Linked DNA regions of Callithrix jacchus. The protein of the gene in region 2 purifies or fractionates together with the protein of the main gene of each other region. This does not show direct contact. Links are inferred from orthologs where the notes say so. Each region holds a gene or a part of one and is shown on either strand. Other genes may lie near its edges.

The links.
Region 1: the proteins of ABL2 (region 2) and RIN1 purify together in Homo sapiens (co-immunoprecipitation; 3 studies listed by BioGRID and IntAct, counting the BioPlex papers as one, with this or other methods). This does not show direct contact. The link is inferred for Callithrix jacchus from reciprocal best matches to the Homo sapiens genes ABL2 and RIN1.

Annotation. Positions count from the first base shown.
Region 1 is NC_133511.1:123,410,731-123,420,606, reverse strand, and holds RIN1 (ras and Rab interactor 1), read left to right. Parts: upstream 1-4,815; 5' UTR 4,816-4,850; coding exon 4,851-4,936; intron 4,937-5,093; coding exon 5,094-5,274; intron 5,275-5,374; coding exon 5,375-5,489; intron 5,490-5,567; coding exon 5,568-5,640; intron 5,641-5,760; coding exon 5,761-5,852; intron 5,853-6,001; coding exon 6,002-6,739; intron 6,740-7,028; coding exon 7,029-7,334; intron 7,335-7,593; coding exon 7,594-7,725; intron 7,726-7,831; coding exon 7,832-7,983; intron 7,984-8,484; coding exon 8,485-8,961; 3' UTR 8,962-9,171; downstream 9,172-9,876. Other genes in the region: BRMS1 (breast cancer metastasis-suppressor 1), read left to right, coding at 69-196, 356-435, 526-622, 1,157-1,249, 2,514-2,578, 3,011-3,050, 3,389-3,396. UniProt on the Homo sapiens protein: Ras effector protein, which may serve as an inhibitory modulator of neuronal plasticity in aversive memory formation. Can affect Ras signaling at different levels. First, by competing with RAF1 protein for binding to activated Ras.
Region 2 is NC_133519.1:24,169,232-24,179,007, reverse strand, and holds part of ABL2 (tyrosine-protein kinase ABL2), read right to left. Parts: intron 7,898-9,776; coding exon 7,745-7,897; intron 5,016-7,744; coding exon 4,926-5,015; intron 3,507-4,925; coding exon 3,330-3,506; intron 2,780-3,329; coding exon 1,056-2,779; 3' UTR 1-1,055. UniProt on the Homo sapiens protein: Non-receptor tyrosine-protein kinase that plays an ABL1-overlapping role in key processes linked to cell growth and survival such as cytoskeleton remodeling in response to extracellular stimuli, cell motility and adhesion and receptor endocytosis.

The DNA.
Region 1 (9,876 bases), on a different chromosome or scaffold from region 2:
CTGGGTATGTGTTTGTCCAAGAGCGATGGGTGAGCAAATGGGCTCACTGCTGCCTTCTCCCCACCCAGGCTGTTCAGGGAACGACTGAGTCAGCTGCGGTTGCGGCTGGAGGAAGTGGGGGCTGAGAGAGCCCCTGAATACACAGAGCCACTTGGGGGGCTGCAGCGGAGCCTCAAGATTCGCATTCAGGTGGCAGGTCTGTGGGTGGTTCTGTGCCCTATTCTCCTCCCAGAACCCATGGCACCCTGTCCCCTTCCTTTCTCGTTCCTGCCCAGCCTCACCCTTTGCTCTCAGCCCTCCTTTGTGGGCACTGGGCTCCCTAGACAAGCAGGGCCCCTCCTCCCGCCCTCTGCAGGGATCTACAAGGGCTTCTGTCTGGATGTGATCAGGAATAAGTACGAGTGTGAGCTGCAGGGAGCCAAACAGCACCTGGAGGTGGGCCTGAGGGCATACGGGGTGAGGCGGGTGCAAGGCCTGCAGTGGACTCCTCCTGTTCCTCCTGCTGAGCTATTGCCCGTCTTCTAGAGTGAGAAGCTGCTGCTCTACGATACGCTGCAGGGGGAGCTGCAGGAGCGGATCCAGAGGCTGGAGGAGGACCGCCAGAGCCTGGACCTCAGCTCCGGTGAGTGCCAGAGCCTGGCTCTGTCAACGCCCACCCGGCTCTGGACTTCAGCTTTCCTAACTGCACAAGGGGACAGTCAGACGACCTGCCTCTTGGGATCAGTGTGAGGACTGAAGGAAACCAGGCCTGGAAAGGGCCTGGCATACAATGGGGGCTCGGGCAGTGGGTCCCCCTGCCCTCTTCTGCCCCTGCTCTCTTTCCAAAACAGGTATCAATGTAACATGCAGTCCCATATAGTAGTTGTAGTCCCCTCCATGTTCACAGTACCAGTGTTCATGTGGAGTCCTGGGGTGGCAGGAATTGTCATTATCCCACTGTCCACTAAACAGATGAGGCTCAAGAAGTACAGTGGCCTCTTCCCGGGGTTGTGCATTTGGGACCTGAATAGCCCTAAGGGGCTTCCTATGGCAAGCCCAGGGTGGTGATGGGGCAAGGGAGGTGAGGCCAGGCTGGCCCATGGTGGGGGCAGAGGCTACAAAAGAGGGAGCATCCTGTGGGCCAGCACCCCAATTTTGACTCTGGGTCTGGGGGCAGAGTGGTGGGACGACAAATTGCACGCCAAAGGCAGCTCCAAGTCTTGGGACTCCCTGCCGCCCAGCAAGAGGAAGAAGGCACCTCTTGTTTCTGGTATCCTTTCACCCAAGGTGGCCTAAAAGTGGACAGGATCAGCTCCAGACCTGGAGTGGGGGGTGGAGAGGACATGGAGGACAGTCACATAGACGAACTCGTGGTTGCTTGGTGTCACGTGACCATGTCCAGGCAAATCCAGCTGTCAGCAGTTTCTTACAGGGTCCTGGGTCTCCCTGGGCTGTATGGTCCCTTGGAAAACAGAAATGGCTTGGGCTCAGTGGTGCACACCTCTAGTCCCAGCGCTTTGGGAGACCAAGGCAGGTAGATTGCTTGAGCCCAGGAGTTCATTTCAAGACCAGCTTGGGCAACATGGTGAAACCCATCTCTAGGTAAAAAGAATAAAAATAATCTAGGCATGGTGGGGCACACCGATAGTCCTGCTACTCTGAAGGCTGAGGCAAGAGAATTGCTTGAGCCTGGGAGGTTAAGGCTGCAGCGAGCTGTGATGGTGCCAGTGTACTTGAGCCTGCGTGAGGTTTGGCCTTTGAGGGCTTTCCGTCTCCCAGGGTGGTCCAAGCGGGTCCCCAGCTTTCCGTGGGCACCTTTGCTCACTTCCTACCCACCTCTTGAAAGTCCTGCCTGCCCCTGACCAGGGCTCATCTCAAACATTACCTCCTCTGTGAGGCCTCTCCTGGTCTTCCCCCAGTGCCTGGGGTGCCCACATTCCAGAGGGCACCGGCTGCCTCTGCCCCTCCCTAGACAGGGTTGGCTTATGCTTAGTCCAGGGCCTGCTGTGCCTTCATCTGTCCTGGCAGAGTTTAGTTCTCTTGCGCCCCTGAGGACATTCCTGCAGCAGCCACCTGGTGCTGGAGAGCAGGCCCAGGCAGGGAGGGAGGAATCTGGAAGGCCTGCGAATGAGAGGTGAAGGCATGGAGACATCAGGTAGGGAGCACTGGGGGAAGGGAGAAGTTGTCTCTGGAGGAACAAGCCCTGAATCTGTCTTTGGATGGGGGATGGGGTCAGTTGAGGGCTGGTGCTACAGGGTGAGATGGGATGGGCCTCAGCCAGCTGACCTCAAGACGAGACGAGGGCAATTAAGGGATGGCAGGCAACACTTGGTGTCCTCCATGGATTTGGTTCCAGGAGGACCCCGGGAACCAGGGTCTAAGAGGTAGAAGGTGGAACCTGAGCTCGGACCCAGGTCCTCAGCTCCCGCTCCATGCTGTCTGCTGCACCCCCACTCCCGAATGTCGGGTGGGTGACCCTGCCCCTGCCCTCATCACGTGCTGCCTCCACTGGGCTTCCTTGACCCCCACTACAGGCCCGTACATCGTGTATATGCTACAGGAGATCGACATCCTGGAGGACTGGACAGCTATCAAAAAGGTGGGGCTGCTGCTGCCCATGTCCCTTGCCCCACCTCAGGGCCCCCCCACCCTGGCAGCAGCTCTGCCATCTGCAGGCCTAGGAGTTCTCTGCTCACCAAGGCTCCCCTACCTTTAGCCCAGGGTCCCTGGATCGAAGTCGGCTCACAAGTCCTCTTGCTCGAGGTGGCCCTGGGAGAAGGGACTTGTAGTCTGTGTCAGCCCCTTCCTGTTCCAGGGCAGGTTTTGGTGGAGTGGGAGCGTGGTGGGAAGGCAGGAGAGCAGCTGAGCTGGCCAGTGGTCAAATGTATGGGAGCTCTGCCTGGGAGGGCCTATGCTCCCAGCCCTGGGGGTGTACTGAGGCAGCAACACGCATGCCACAGAAGTGGGGGGTGGGGACAGGGATTGCCAAGCTGGAGGTGGGCTCTCAGGGGGGCTTTTCTCACCCATCCAGGCTAGGGCAGCTGTGTCCCCTCAGAAGAGAAAATCGGATGGTAAGAACCATGGCTGTTGTACGGCCTCCCCTTCCCCCTCACCATCACCTTCCCTCAGCTCAGCCTCCAGGAGGGATCCCAGAGCGGCTGTGGCTGTCACAATCAGTGGCCCAAGACAGTTAAGATGATCTAGATTTGAGGGGTTTGCAGGAGTTTGAGGAGCAGGAACCAGGATGGGGTTGATGGAGCTTCCACTCAGGAGGAGTCAGGGAGGGCAGGGGAGCTGCTCAGGAGGCCTGTCCTGGGCCAGCCCAAAGCCGCTCCCCTCAGTAAGTGGCTACTTCCCTCCTTTTGGCTTCCTCAGTGGTGACAGTTTTCTCTTTCCTGCATATGCACAGGACCATGACCCTGCTGTTCACAGCCAGGGGACCCTCAGAGCCGCTGGCACGGCACCCAGGATTCTCATCTTCCTGCCACAGACAGGTGGACCCACAGGCCCCTCAGTGTCCACCCAGCCAGGCTCGTGGTGCTGCAGGGCCCTCCCCCCTCCCCGCCCCAGCTGGCACTGGACTCCTCTGCCCTCCTTGAGGCCTGCACAGCTGTGGCCGTGGAGCTGACCTGGCCAGTCAAAGCTGTTGTCTCCTGAGCCTCCTCCCACTCCTGAAGATCCACCTCTTAGGGCTCCCCTGACAGAAGACAGCTGAAGTCGAAGCCACATCCTCCTGCTGACCTTGGATGCAGGCAGGCTCCCCGGCCTCTAGGCCAGGAAGCCAGGCCCCACTGGCGGGAACTCTGAGTCAGACGTGGTGTCTGGAGGGCTGTCCACCCTGGCTGGAGCTGGAGGCAAGAAGCCAGGCCCCTAGGTTTTCTCAGGGCAGTTCTTGGTGTCTGCCTCCCAGATTTCAAGGACTGGAATTAAAACCTTTCCTGGAACTCTTGAGTGCCTTGTGTGTGCGTGTGATTTACCTTGCAAGAGAATCAGAGCTTCTGTGGGGAGCGCCTGAACCAGGCCGACTTCTGGGGTGCCAGTGACTCCTCACATTACCCAGCAGTGGCTGGAGCACTGTGCATAGGGCCAGGCTGGGGAGGCGGAGGTGGGGAGGTGGGCGCTGGGCACAGTTGGAAGCTGCTAGCGGAGCGCCTTGGGTAGGGAGGGTGGGTGCGTGTGCTTGGAGCCTGGGTCATGTCTGCACCTGTCCCAGTTGCCTGGCAGATTGGCAAGGCAGGCTGGCAGAGCCTGTGTGCGTGGGAGGCAGCCGACAGCAGCACCATGTGCTGGCGACCTCACAGCCAGACTCCCCCTGGTTAGCTCTGAGTGTCAGAACCACCCCCAGAACCTCAGTTAAGCAAAGAGGTTGGTTTCCATGGAGATGCAGCATCTTTTTTCCATGGCAACCTGAAATTCCAAAACCCAGGCTCAGGAATGAGTCATCGATGGACAGTAGAGGGTGCTCTCCCACAAGGCTGACCTGAGGCGGGGCAGATGAGCAACTGACCACAGACCCAGAGGTGCCCTAAGGGTGAAGGGAGTGGCTGGGGCCTGTGGAGACCCAGTCGGGCCTGCTTAACCGCTTCTCACCCATCTGCAATTTGAAGGGGAGGCTGCAGGAGGCCCTGTGTTGAGGTGGCACCCCCCAGCTGGGGCCATCAGAGTGGGGATAGCTAGCATGGAGGGGATCCCTGACCACTGAGCAGGGTCCAGAACAGAAGAGGCAGGCACTGGCCAGGCGGGGTGGACACACAAGAGTTAACTGGCGGGTGTGACAGGCGGACCGCCCTCAGGAAGTGTTACTCACTGGGGATGTGCGCGCCTTGCCTTCGGGCTGGATTCTCTTCCTGAAGCCGAAGGAGCTCCCAGCCATGGAAAGCCCTGGAGAGCCAGGCGCGGGCCTTCCTGGGGCCCCCAGCCCGTCCAGCTTCACTCCTGGACACCTGGAGAGAGAAAAGTTAGTGAAGTTGGCATGGCAGCCAGGTGGGACAGGGAGGGGCGGCAAGAGGAGAGCCTATCCCGGGACAGAGAAGGTGGGAAACCCGGGAGCAGGGAAGAGGTGAGTAAAGGTCCCAGCCCCCGGCCCCTGCTCAGATCTGGGTGCCTGCCCCCAGGCCAGCCCAGGATCCACTGTACGACGTACCCGATGCCAGCGGCAGGCAGGCAGGCGGGCCGCAACGGCCGGGGCGTGTTGTGAGCCTCCGGGAGCGCCTGCTGCTCACCCGGCCCGTGTGGCTACAGTTGCAAGCCAACGCGGCGGCTGCTCTGCACGTGCTAAGGACAGAGCCCCCGGGGGTGAGTCTTGCCTGACCTCCAGGGACTGGCCAGCCAGGGGTGGGAGGGAGAGGGGCCGGATGCCAAGGTCCTGAGCTGCCTGAACCCCATCCACTTGCAGACGTTCCTCGTGCGGAAATCGAACACTCGCCAGTGCCAGGCCCTGTGCATGCGGCTGCCCGAAGCCAGTGGCCCCTCCTTCGTCTCCAGCCACTACATCCTGGAGAGCCCTGGCGGTGAGGGGCTGACCTGGTGGGAAGGGTTGGAAGCAGGGAGGTTCCCCAGAGAAGCACCTCACTTCCCTCCTCTCTCAGGCATCTCCTTGGAGGGCTCAGAGCTCATGTTCCCGGACCTAGTCCAGCTCATCTGTGCCTACTGCCACACCCGGTGAGTCTGCCCACAGGGTGCCTGGTGTCCACGGGCCCTGCTCCTTGGGACAGCCCATCCTCCTCACCCCCTTCGGCCCAAGCATCCCTCACTCCCTTCTGCTCCCCTCTCTGGCCTCAGGGACATCCTTCTCCTCCCGCTCCAGCTCCCCACAGCCATCCAGCAGGCAGCCACCCACAAAGAGCTGGAGGCCATCTCCCATCTGGGCATTGGTAAGGGCTCCCTGCCACACATTGCACAGATGGACAAGCTGAGACTGAGGGAAAGGGAAGGCTCGCAGCACACAGCCCGAAGCCTTTCCTTGCTTAGGAGGCCTCCCCTAACCAACCCCAGAGGCCCCAGTTAGTTTCTTGTTCCCTAGAGTTCTGGAGCTCCTCCCTCAACATCAAGGCTCAGCGGGGCCCAGCTGGAGGCCCAGTGTTGCCCCAGTTGAAGGCCCGGTCCCCTCAAGAGCTGGACCAGGGCACCGGAGCCGCCCTGTGCTTCTTCAACCCCCTGTTCCCAGGGGACCTGGGGCCCACCAAGCGGGAGAAGTTCAAGAGAAGCTTCAAAGTGCGCGTGTCCACAGAGACCTCCAGCCCCCTGTCTCCACCTGCTGTGCCGCCTCCCCCTGTCCCCGTGCTGCCAGGGGCAGCCCCCAGCCAGGCAGAGCGGCTGCCCCCTTGCCAGCTGCTGCGGAGGGAGAGCTCAGTGGGGTATCGCGTGCCAGCAGGTGGTGGCCCTAGCCTTCCACCCCTGCCCTCCCTCCAGGAGGTGGACTGCGGCTCCCCCAGCAGCTCCGAGGAGGAGGGGGCAACAGGGTCCCAGGGGAGCCCAGCGACCTCACCCCACCTGGGCCGCCGGCGGCCTCTGCTTCGGTCCATGAGTGCCGCCTTCTGCTCCCTACTTGGGCCAGAGCGGCAGGTGGGCCGGGCTGCAGCGACACTGATACAGGACCGACACACAGCCGCCGGCCAGCTGGTGCAGGACCTACTGACCCAGGTGCGGGCCAGGCCTGAGCCTCAGGAGTTGCAGGGTGTCCGCCAGGCGCTGAGCCGGGCCCGGGCCATGCTGAGTGCAGAGCTGGGCCCTGAGAAGCTGCTGTCGCCTAAGAGGCTGGGTGAGGCTCCATCTCTCCATAGCTCCAGCACTGCCCCATCCGACCCTCTGCTCCCCTCCAGTGCCAGCCTGTCTGATTCTGTTCTGCTGCTTTACAAACCCACCGTCTTACCACTGTGCGGGAGAGTTCCACCCCCTCTCCCCCAACTCTCCCATCTCACCCAGTCTACCTCCTGCTTTCCTTGCCTCTCCTCCCCGATTCTACCCCTGCTCCCTTCTCTCCTGACCTCTGCCCCTACCTCCAGTCCTGCCCTGTTTCCCCTGACCCCTTCCTGCCCCTCCTCTGGCAGAGCATGTGCTGGAGAAGTCGCTGCATCGCTCTGTGCTCAAGCCTCTCCGGCCCATCCTGGCAGCCCGCCTGCGGCGCCGGCTTGCTGCAGACGGCTCCCTGGGACGCCTAGCTGAGGGCCTCCGCCTGGCCCGGGCACAGGGGCCTGGAGCCTTCGGGTCCCACCTGAGCCTGCCCTCCCCAGTAGAGATGGAGCAGGTGCGCCAGAAGCTGCTGCAGCTGCTCCGCACATACTCACCCAGTGCCCAGGTCAAGCGGCTTCTGCAGGCCTGCAAGCTGCTCTATACAGCTCTGAGGACCCAGGAGGGTATGTCCCTGCCACACCTCACCCTGCCCTGCCCCTCTGAGTCACAGGCGGGCCCCCCAGCGGCAGGTCCCCAGGACCCTGGAACAGCACTGTGGGGGAGAATGAGCCCACTCTCCTGTCTCACAAATGGTGAAACTGAGGCCCAGAGAGCAGCTTATCCTCTCCACAGCCCCTCTGTGGTTGCTAGGCCGGGGGGAGGGGTCACTGCCTAAAGCAAGGATTGCACCTGAAGCTTCTTCCTCTCACTGTGGCCCCACAGGGGAGGGCGCAGGTGCCGATGAGTTCCTGCCTTTGCTGAGCCTCGTCCTGGCCCACTGTGACCTTCCCGAGCTGCTGCTGGAGGCCGAGTACATGTCAGAGCTGCTGGAGCCCACACTGCTCACCGGAGAGGGTGAGGGACCCCCACCAACTTCCCTGTCTGGGTGGGCCCTGAATAAGCAGGGAAGTGGGGTGCCCCACTCCCAGCCTGAGCTGTGTTCTTCCACACTGTGTCCTAGGTGGCTACTACCTGACCAGCCTCTCTGCCAGCCTGGCCCTGCTGGGCGGCCTGGGCCAGGCCCACACCCTCCCACTGAGCCCCGTGCAGGAGCTGCGGCGCTCCCTCAGCCTCTGGGAGCAGCGCCACCTGCCTGCTACCCACTGCTTCCAGGTAACAGGCCCTCCACCGTGTCCTCAGAGCCAGACACCGTCCCCGCCCTTCACCTTCCTGTCCTTGGTGAAGAGTCCAGACTCTGTAGCCAGATCCTGGGTTCGAATTCTAGCTCTGCCACTGGGTTGTGGGAACTTGGACAAGTTATTTAACTACTTTGTGCCTCAGTTTTCTCATCAGTAAAATGGGGTAATAGGACCTACCTCCTGGGGTTGATGTGAAGATGAAATGAGTTAATGCAGGAGAGTGCTTGGGGCACAGACTACGTGCTATCAAAGCTTCGTCTCAGGCTCCTGAGCTCCCTGCTGGGCTGTCCTTGCACCTTCAGCTGTGGCCCACGAGCCCACCCCTGGAGCTCACAGGGCTTTTCCCACTTGGTTCTCCCACTGGATTTCTACCTCCCCATCTGTCCCCACACAGCCCACACTGGCCCCTCAGCTTTGGACCCAGATGCATGCCTGCCAGGACTGAGTACTTCCTTTCACTTCTCCTCCTGTATAGCACCTTCTCCGAGTAGCCTATCAGGACCCCAGCAGTGGCTGCACCTCCAAGACCCTGGCCGTGCCCCCAGAGGCCTCGGTTGCCACCCTAAACCAGCTCTGTGCCACCAAGTTCCGAGTGACCCAGCCCAACAATTTCGGCCTCTTCCTGCACAAGGACCAGGGCTACCACCGCCTGCCCCCGGGAGCCCTGGCCCACAGGCTGCCCACCACAGGCTACCTCATCTACCGCCGGGCAGAGTGGCCTGAGACCCAGGGGTCTGCAACAGAGGAGGAGGGCGGTGGGCAGTCAGAGGCAGGGAGCAGAGGGGAGGACCAGGGATGCCGGGGAGATGGGGACGCTGAGGTCAAAGCTAGCCCCAGGGACATTCGGGAAGAGCCTGAGACAACTGCTGAAGGGGGCCAGGGTTGGGCCCGGGGAGGGCCTGCTCAGCCAGGGGAGCCAGAGGCAGAGGGAAGCCGGGAAGCAGAGGAGTAACTTGAAGTGGCCAGAAGGGGTCACTGGCGGCGGGAGACCCAGAGCCTACTGAGAAGTCCTTTCAGTGCCAGTAGCCCCCTCGGGCTCCATCCTGTGTTTGCCATCAGCTTTGTCTGATACTTGTCTCTGGGGAATCTGGGGGAACTGCCACAACTGAGGAAATAGAATAAAGCTGAGGGGGCTTGGAGGACCCCCAGACTGTGTGCCCAAGGCCCCTTGCCTCTTGTTCTTCTACCAGCTGAGGGCGAGCCGGACTGCAATGGGGAGTGTGTCAAATGGGGACAAATCCAACCAACCGATGGCCAACCCCCGACGTGGGGAGGGTGGTGGTCTCGGCTCCTTTCACCCCTGCCCCGATGTGCGCAGCTCAGGCCGGGCTCTACCCAAGCAGCCCCCACCAAGCTGGAACTTCTGGGCCCTGAAAGGTTCCAACTCCTCCTGGGCGTCAGGAGGATTTAGAGAAGCCGCAGAACAGCAGCAAAGGCTTGAGGCCCATCCCTGCCCTTGACACTAAAGGACCTGCACTGTGAGCCTCAGTCTCATCTGTAAATCGGGGACACTACTGCTGCCCTGCCTGGCTCCCAGAAGTGTTCCAGAAATCAAAATGTGTGATTTTGCTACAAGCGGAGCTCACTGCAGAAAGGGAGGGAAGGAGCTGGGCTGCTAACTCTCCTGGGGTCTGGTCCCTGCCAGACAGGGCTCCCACCTGCTCATGCCCAGTCCAGGAAGGCTATTCCCCTAGAAATCAGGCCCTGGGGAGAAAGTACCCAAGTTACAGTCTCTCCCCAAGACTGGAAGTCCTCCCAGGCCCTCCAGCATCTCTGGGAGATCCACTAGCCGGCAAATAAGCTTCCAGAATGGAGAGGGGCTAGGAAACCATGCTCTCTGCACAACACTCTTGGCCCTCACGAAAGC
Region 2 (9,776 bases):
TTAGGACCAGCTTTTCCTTTCAGTCACAGGCCACTGGGTTTCAAGAAAAGACCATCTCCCTGCTATTTTAGTTGATAAAGAAAAATACACAGCTGCTCAAGTCCTTGGCCAGTGTGTCAATACGCAGGGGAACTGTATCAGAACAGGATTCATTCCCTTGTGAGAACCTGCAGGGACTACTATTTTCAAAATCGACATTGGTTAATGCTCTGAACGCTATCAGGAATAAAGGAAGACAGGTTGCCCAGCAAAAGACTACTAGGGAGACCCCCGTACTCATGGTTTACAGATAGCCACCAGCAAGCAGGAAGCCAATCCTCGTCCATTATGAAATAATATACCAGACTGGGAGAAGTGACTTCTGCTAATCTATAGAAGATTTTATAGGAGAAGGTTTTCAATCTCCCTGACTCAACTTTCCAGCATTCTTTATTTCCTGCACCAACCAATACACCAGCAGAAAACCGGACAGGGGCATTCAGATAGTGCCACATTTCCCAGCTCTGTATTGTAGCACTCTGATTTGCAGTTCTCATTACAGCAGCAATGGCCTTGTGAAAGCAAGGCTAGGGGTACTTCCGACAGCCTTGAACAAAAATTTCTCTTTATACATTCCCAGCTTTCTTCTGTCCCACCAAACTCATTAGGTAAATTGGAGCATAATCACCATGAGTATCTACCAGAGTCCCAGGTCTGGGCACAGTTGCTGTGGTATAGCTGAGAGCGGCCCTGCCTAGCACCTCCCAGCATTCCAGGTAGGGATGGGCTGCATTGCCTTCCTTATGACATACATATGTTCCCTGATTTTCCAGTGCAGTTTCCAACCCTGTCTCCTACTGCCTTGCCCCCACTTAATAATTTACCTCTCCTATACTTTTGTGGTTAGCTTCTTATTTTTGAGATGAAACTGTAAACGTGAGAACTCAGGGATCTGAGGTACTTCACATAAACACACTCAAGTATGAGTCATTTTTTGAAAACAAGAACACAGGAAAACAAGTCCCTTTCCCTCTCCCCTCAGAAATGTGTGCATTTTCCCACCAGCCTAACAGTGGCTACCTCTGTACTACATCACTGATTTCCTGTACACATGACAATAAGTTATTAAGGACGGGGTTTGCCCCGGGCACACCAGCAGCTGCTGAAGACACCTGTAGCTCCTGTAAGCTGAGTTCCAGTTTGCTCACAGCCTCTCGGAAGGCAAATTTGTTCCGAGTTTGAGGGATGCAGTCCACGTAGCCTGAGCAGTAGTCGAGCAGCTGGTGTCCAGTGTCTACCAGCTGGCTGTTGGGCAGAGGTTCCGTGATTGCACTGGACAGTAGGTCAGCACATTCCAGCAGGGCCTCTTTGCTGATTTTGTCTGCTGAGATTTTCTCAGCGGCCTGTTTGGTTTTTCTCAGGGCCACTTTAGTACCTGCTGTGCCGTTGGCCATTTTGGCGGGCGAGATGGAAGACGTGGGCAGAGGCACTTGAGGTGGAGGCACCACTGGCCTCCCAGCTTTCCCACTGATGGGCACTGCGCCCGGAGCTGCCTTCTTTCCTCCTTCCTGTGTTTCTGATGTGGACTGTCCTGCAGCCGGGGCAGTCGGCTCTTCTGTAGGGTCTGAACATAAGGATGAATGCTGCAGTAGTCTCATCACTGGTGGTGGGGGTGGGGCACACTTTGGTTTTACCCGTCGGGGTCGGTCCTTGTCTCCAGAGGATGTAACCTGATGCTCAGATAAGAGCTTGAATTTATTCCCCTGAGAGTCTGTGCCAATAAGCTGCACATCAGCTGGAGTGTGTTTCAGAGTGGGTGAGATAAGGACTGGCACTTTGTGGTTGTGAGTGGTTGGGAGGACAGGGGCAGCCTTGGCTGGAGAAGACCAGCCGGGCTGCTCTCCATCCTCTGGGACTCCAACCATCCCAAGTCGTGTCCCACCATTCTTCTCTTTGCCCTTGGGGGCAGCTGTCACTCCAGCCACTCCCATCCCTGGAGAGTCCTTCTCTGTAATGGCTAGATCCCCAGAGGGGGTTCTAAGAGGAAGAGCTGTGGCTCCTCTGGGCAGTAACTTGGCTTTTGGTCTCTCCCTGGTTGGAGCAGCACCTTCCTCTGATTTTTTTAGAAGCATGTCATTGGCCCTGTCCACATTCTCTTCTGGCTGAGAAGAGGTGGACACTGTCCTTTCCAGCTGGAGTTTGGACCTCTGGCAGTTCCTGGGAAGGGTCATTGCCATCCTATCCTGCTCTGGAAGCCCTGAGGACATGGAAGATGTAGAGTTTGACCTTGGAAAAGGCTTGGAAGTGTCATCACTGGCTGTGGGTTTACCTGCTCGTAAGCCCAGTGTCTTTTTGATTAAGCGTGGTGTAAAGAAGCCTGTGATACCAGACCACCCACCCCCAGCAGTGCCACTGCCCCCACCCCCACCACCGTCGTCATTACACAGGTTCCTCTGTGCAAAGCTCCCCCCATAGCACTTGGGTGGCACCAGATTCGCCTCTTGCTGGGCAGGAGTGAAAGAGAACCCATCAGCATGCTGTAGAGAAGCAACAGATGAGAAGTTACCCGTGAGTTCGTATTTCTTATGGGGCTGATTCTCCATTTCTCGGAAGGAGCTGCTGCGTTTGGGGGGTGTGGGAGCATTTCTCTTTTTCATGAAGGAGCTGAAGAAGCCCCCTTTCCTATCCCTGGTGAAGCATGTCTCTTTGGCATCTTCCAAGAGGCTACTGGGTGACTTGTCTCTTTGCTTTCGAGGCAGTGCTGGGGATCCACTGGAGGCCTGTGCACCTCTGAGGAACCCTGATGAGAAACAGCCGATCAGTAATGTGAAAGACAGGAAGTGACTCTATTGTAGTTGAGTTACCGAGGCTGCATTATAAGAGTTTTGCCAGCATTTATCAAATGTCAGGCGTTGGCGGGACTCAGTGGCAAAAAATAAATACATTATCACTGCACAGTGACTGGTGTTCCAAATGTGATGTGGGTTACAAATGGGGGGAGATAACCTGCTGGTTATCACCTCAACATTCATCCTTTCTTTAAAAACCACTGCGCAATCTGTTCCCTTCTATGAGGTTCAGCAAAGTTTTTGATGGACCTGTAAAGATGATGCCTACTTGGGAACCCAGGGTTAAGGAGATGAAACTGGAGGGAGAGTTGTATGATGGATGGACAGATCAGGACAACTAACACTGGCAGTGTGGAGCCAAGGACTTCACAGGTGGGTGAAAGAGACTCCATGCTTTCCTCAGGGACGATGGGCATGAAAGTGGACAGAAAAGCCTCATATCCCACGCTTCTTTCAACAAGGTAGTTTCTATTTTGATTCTAGCTGCCTAGAGACCCATACCTGGTGCTAAACTGGAAGCAGAGTTTTCTGTGGCATCATCTTGTGCCCCTTCAATGTTCTCCTTGTTCTCTGCCTGTTTCTTCAGTGTCCGAGTCTTGGAAGGAAGTATAGGTAGCCGGGGCAGGTATGGAACAACAGATGACGAGGAGGCAGCTCTCCCAAGCTCCTCAGCTACTTCTGTCAGGAAGACAAGGGGACTGATAAAAAGAACAATTTCATAACAGAGAAAGGGAGCTCTTTTCAGAAAAGGCACACAGCTGAGAAGGAACTGACAAGTAGAGAGTACTAAAAAACATACACAGAATCATAAAATATGTACTCTTCTGTCTTCTTTTGCCCAGTATCATGTCTGTAGATTTGTCCACGCTGCTGCATGTGGCAGGGGTTCTCACTTCTGTGTAGTATGCCAATGTGTGAATATACCACAATCCACCTGTTCTCCTCTTGATAGATGTTTAGGTTGTTTCTAGCTTGGGGTTACTACCAATACATTGCTAGCATCATCCTGCCATGTGTCTTTTGGTAGACAATGCTATGCACATCAGACTGGCACAAACACAGGAGAACTGGTGGATCACAAGGTATATGAGCATTCACGTTTTTCAGGTCCTGCCAACCTGTCCCTAAATGGCTATACTATTTTGCATGAAAGCTCTGGTTACTCTGCATGCTTGCTAAAATTTGATGTTATTATTTTTCATTTTTTTGGCTTGATTTTTTTTTTTTTTGAGACAGAGTCTCAATCTGTCACCCAGGTTGGAGTGCAATGGCTTGATCTCAGCTCAGTGCAACCTCTCCCTCCTGGGTTCAAACGATTCTCCTGTGTCAGCCTCCTGAGTAGCTGGGATTACAGGCACCTGCCACCATGCCGAGCTATTTTTTTTATTTTTAGTAGAGATGGGGTTTCACCATGTTGGCCAGGATGATCTCAAACTCCTTGTGATCTACCCACCTCAGCCTCCCGAAGTGCTGGGATTAGGATTACAGGTATGAGGCTCCTCATGCCTGTAATCTCATGCTTCAGATATATATATCTCTCTAAGAATATCATTTTAAATATTCAGCTATATGAATGTAATAATTTGCAGTCCACTAGATATTTAAGTTGTTCATAATTTCTCACTATTATAAACTACATTCTGATGCAATGTCCTTACAGTTAAATCTTTGTTCATATTCTTATTTCCTTAAGATCTATTTCCAAAAATGGAATGTCTGAATATTGTTTTTACAACTTGGTTCTGCTTTGTAGATGCAGTTCAGGGAGTTAGAATTTTTTTTTACTTATTTTTTCCTTTTCTCTTTCCTACATCCTAAATATTGATGCTTAATGAGCTACCAAACTTACTAATGTTAAAGGGAAGATGAATAAATTTCTAATTAAAATACAACTTCAATTTAAAATATATGAGACACAAAGATGCACTGAAAATAGCAAAAAAGCAACACAGCAATAACCAAGGTCAAAAATTAGTTCAGTATCATAAAACAGAGTCCCAAACTACAGAAGTTAATCATTTTCGAAATGTAATTACCATTATCATCACCATCACTACCCAGAACTAGTCACCAACAGTAAATTCTATAGATTCTCACCTTCAGAAATGCTGGAGTCATGGAACATGGTTTCAAAAGCTTGGTGTGTTTCAGCAAAAGAGGGCCTATCGGCAGGGCTCCACTTCCAGCCTACATAACGGAAGAAGAAAATATTAAAAACTCCTTGCAGAAATTCAATATCCAGTGGTATGTCTAATAATGAGTTCCATGCCTCATGATGTGTACTTATTAGACACATGTTATGGCATGTTCACAATGATAACAACATACCCACTTCTCAGCTCTAGACTCAGAGGTATAACGAACCCACTGTTTTTTGTTTTTTGTTTTTTTTTTTTTGAGATGGAGTTTTGCTTTGAGCTCCAGGCTGGAGTGCAATGGAGATCTCAGCTCACTGCAACCTCTGCCTCCTGGGTTCAAGCAATTCTCCTTCCTCAGCCTCCCGAGTAGCTGGGATTACAGGCATGTGCCACAACACCTGGCTAATTTTTTGAATTTTCTCCATGTTGGTCAGGCTGGTCTTGAACTCCCAACCTCAGGTGATCCACCCACCTTGGCCTCCCAAAGTGCTGGGATTACAGGCTAGGCCACCGTGCCCAACCAATAAACCCACTTTCTAAATTCCTTTTTTCTTTTTCTTGGAGACAGGGTCTTGCTCTGTCACCCAGGCTGGAGCACAGTGGCACGATCTCAGCTCACTTCATACGCTTATTGGACATCTGGATATCCTCGTTTATTAAGTTAAAGTTAACCTTTAATTCCTTTCCATGTCGATATATCCAAGAAAGTCGGGCATGGTGGCTCACATCTATAATCCCAGCACTAGGTTGACAGATCACATAAGGCCAGGAGTCTGAGACCATCAACATGGCAAAACCCCATCTCTACTAAAAATACAAAAATTAGCTGGGCGTGGTGGTGGGTGCCTGAAATCCCAGCTACTCAGGAGGCAAGCACAAGAATCACTTGAATCTGGGAGGTGGAGATTGCAGTGAGCCAAGATTGCAACACTGCACTCCAGCACGGACCTCCTGGGTTCAAGCAATCCTCTTGGCTCAGCTCCCCAAGTTGCTGGGACTATGGGTGTGCAACACCACACCCAGCTAATATTTGTATTTTTATAGACAGGATTTTGCCACATTGCTCAGGCTACTTTTGAACTCCTGAGCTCAAGCAATTGCCCACTTTGGCTTCCCAAATTGCTAGAATTACAAGTGTGAGCATCACACCTGGCCATGAACCCACTTTCTAAGGCTGGTGCTTCTATTTAGCCTCAGCTCCTATTCCTTCTACTAAAGGATGAGGAGAGACGGGAAGATGGTTTAGAAAATGACAAGTTTTCTTCCATTTGAAAATGGAAGAAGTAAAAGTTTGTCTTCAAACTCAGCCTGACCGTATAATCAACTGTACATACTCAGTAATATAAAAGGATATCAAAAAGGAGGAGCTCAAAGTTCACTTTTGACAAAGTACAACAGAGAACGCCAAAGTTCAGTGAGAAAAGAACACAGACTTATGTTCAGACACAACTGCAGTTCAAGCTGGGCATGGTGGCTCACACCTGTAATCCCAGCACTTTGGGAGACTGAGGCAGGTGGATCACTTGAGGCCAGGAGTTCAAGACCAGCCCGGCCAACATGGTGAAACCCTGTCTCTACTAAAAATACAAAGATGGGCCGGGCGCGGTGGCTCAAGCCTGTAATCCCAGCACTTTGAGAGGCCGAGGCGGGTGGATCACGAGGTCAACAGATCAAGACCATCCTGGCCAACATGGTGAAACCCCGTCTACTAAAAATGCAAAAAATTAGCTGGGCACGGTGGCGCATGCCTGTAATCCCAGCTACTCAGGAGGCTGAGGCAGGAGAATTGCCTGAACCCAGGAGGCGGAGGTTGCGGTGAGCCGAGATCGCGCCATTGCACTCCAGCCTGGGTAACAAGAGCGAAACTCCGTCTCAAAAAAAAAAAAAAAAATACAAAGATTAAACAGGGCGCGGTGGCTCAAGCCTGTAATCCTAGCACTTTGGGAGGCTAAGGTGGGCGAATCACTTGAGGTCAGGAGTTTGAGACCAACCTGGCCAACATGGTGAAACCCCATCACTACCAAAAATACAAAAATTAGCCATGTGTGGTGGCAGGCACGTGTAATCCCAGCTACTTGGGAGGCTGACGCAGGAGAATTGCTTGAACCTGGAGGGCGGAGGTTGCAGAGACTGCGACACTGCATTCTCTCCAGTTGGGGTGGCAACAACAACAACAATTAGCTGGGCATGGTGGAGTGTGGCTGTGGTTCCAGCTACTCAAGGGCTGAGGCAGGAGAATCACTTTAACCCAAGAGGTGGAGGTTGCAGTGAGTCAAAAATCACATTACTGTACCCCACCCTGAGCAACAAAGCAAGATTCTGTTTCAAAAACAACAAAAAACAAAGCAAACAAAAACAACAACTGCTATTTAATTCACTACTCACTTCCCTACTTTTTTATCTGCAAGCAATCAGATGCTTCTGTTTATCCAACACAGAGGTATTTGTACGCAGTTCTTCATAGTCTTTAGCAATCACTTTTATCTAGTTGAAAGCAGCCCTCCCCATCTTAAGCTCTAAACTCAATCTCTTATTAAATATGCAAATGTATCTGAGAAACTGGGCCAATATTTGGGCCATAATAAAAACTATTCTTGGGATTCCAGAAAGACTCAATGCTATATGATATGACAACTGGCTGATCAATGATAAACTCTTTAAATGTCATGAGGCTGGATTCACTCAAACAGCACTAAGAGGAGAAAAGTTTCTAATTTTGTTAACTATTCTGAACTGCTAGCTTATGGCTTCAAAATTAAAATATGCAAAAATACTCACATGCTCTCATAAGTTCATAAACTTTCGGGGGGCATCCCTCAGGCTGTTCCATTCGATATCCTTTTTCTAGTAGGTCATAGACCTGAGACAGGTCAATACCTGGATATGGTGACATTCCATAGGTAGCAATTTCCCACAACAGTACCCCAAAAGCTGCATAAGGAATTTTAAAAAGCACTTAGTGTTTCTCCTCTGATTTATTATGCATTTTACATAATTAGGTAATTCTCTTCCCAATTTTAGATAACATTCACACCCTGTTACAACAACATTAACATAGAATATACTCTTTTATCAACTCTTACAGCATGGCTTGTTCTTCTAAAATATTTGCCACAGGCATAGAATCTCAAGACAGTTTTATTTAAATTTCCCAATTTTTATTTAGATTTCCTTTACTACAGTGAGGGAAAATAAACTATGAGCATTTAAGAAGCTGGGGCGTAATCCAACTAGTCTTAGAAAAGTCTCTGATATACAGTAGTCACCCCTTATCCGTGGTTTCATTTTCCATAGCTTGTTACTCACAGTCAACCAAGGTCGAAAAATATTCAATAGAAAATTCCAGAAATAAACAATTTGAACGTTTTAAACTGCATGCTGTTCTGAGTAGCATGATGAAATCTCAAGCCACGCTTCTCCGTATCCACACCATAGATGCTACCCACCCCTTAGTCACTAAGAAGACCTCTCAGTTATCAGATCAAAAAAAGATGATATATCCAGAGTTTGACACTATCCTTGGTTTCAGGCATCCAAGCAGGGGGATCTTAGAATGTATTCTCCGAGGATAAAGGGGAACCACTGTATTTAATAACAGTTTTAAACTCAGCTAAAATAAAGATTCATTTAAAATCAGATAAAATTCAGAGCAGAAAAAAAATTGATTTTGTCACAGTTATTTCAGTTTGAGATTTCTAGTAAAAAGTGACTTATAATCCTATGACTATTCCTATTGGCCCACAATCCAAATTTCCAGATCATTCAGTCCACTAAGCTTCTACCAAGTCATATTACTTCTCAGAGCAGTAGAAACAAGATCAGTAAGGACAAATTCTAGATGAAACCTCATCAATGCTTCCCTTGAAAAGAAAGCTCTGTGACTCAGTACTTTGCAAATGAGTAATAAAACCTAATGTGAGGCTAGTGCAGAGGCTCACTCCTGTAATCTCAACACTTTGGGAGGCTGAGACAGGTGGATCATCTGAGGTCAGGAGTGCGAGACCAGCCTGGCCAACATGGTGAAACTTCATCTCTACTATAATGACAAAAATTAGCCAGGCATGGTGGTGCATGCCTGTAGTCCCTGCTTCTTGGGAGGCTAAGGTAGGAGAATCGCTTGAACCTGGGAGATGGAGGTTGCAGTGAGCTGCGATTGTGCCACTGCACTCCAGCCTAGACAACAGAGCAAGAAAAAAAAAAAAAAAACTAATATGGAAATATGGTGCTATACAGAGAGAGGATCATCAGCACTCCAGTGCAATATGAAATCTAGACTGTGAGCGCTCTTGAAGGAATGGACTTCTTTTTTTTAAACTTTCTTCTTTATACTTTTTTTTTTTGAGACAGTCTTCCTCTATTGGCCAGGCTGCAGTGCAGTGGTACCATCTTGGCTCACCGTAACCTCCACCTCCCAGGCTCAAGCAATTCTCCTGCCTCAGCCTTCAGCCTCCCGAGTAGCCGGAATTACAGGTGCGCACCACCACGCATGGCTAATTTTTGTAGTTAGCAGAGATGGAGCCATGTTGTCCAGGCTGGTCTCAAACTCCTGACCTGAGACAGGGTTTCACCATGTTGACCAGGCTGGTCTCAAACTCCCGACCTCAACTGATCTGCCCACCTCAGCCCAAATCGCTGAAATTACAGGCGTAAACCACCACGTCAGACCTATTCTTCTGTTTATGTGAAGTTCTTAGCACAATCCTGGCAGACAGGAGGTACTTAACAAATGCTTGCTGAATAACTGAAGAAGAATGGCAGGTAAAGGTAGAGGATACTGAACATCATAAAAAAGAAAAGCTCTAAAGAATCA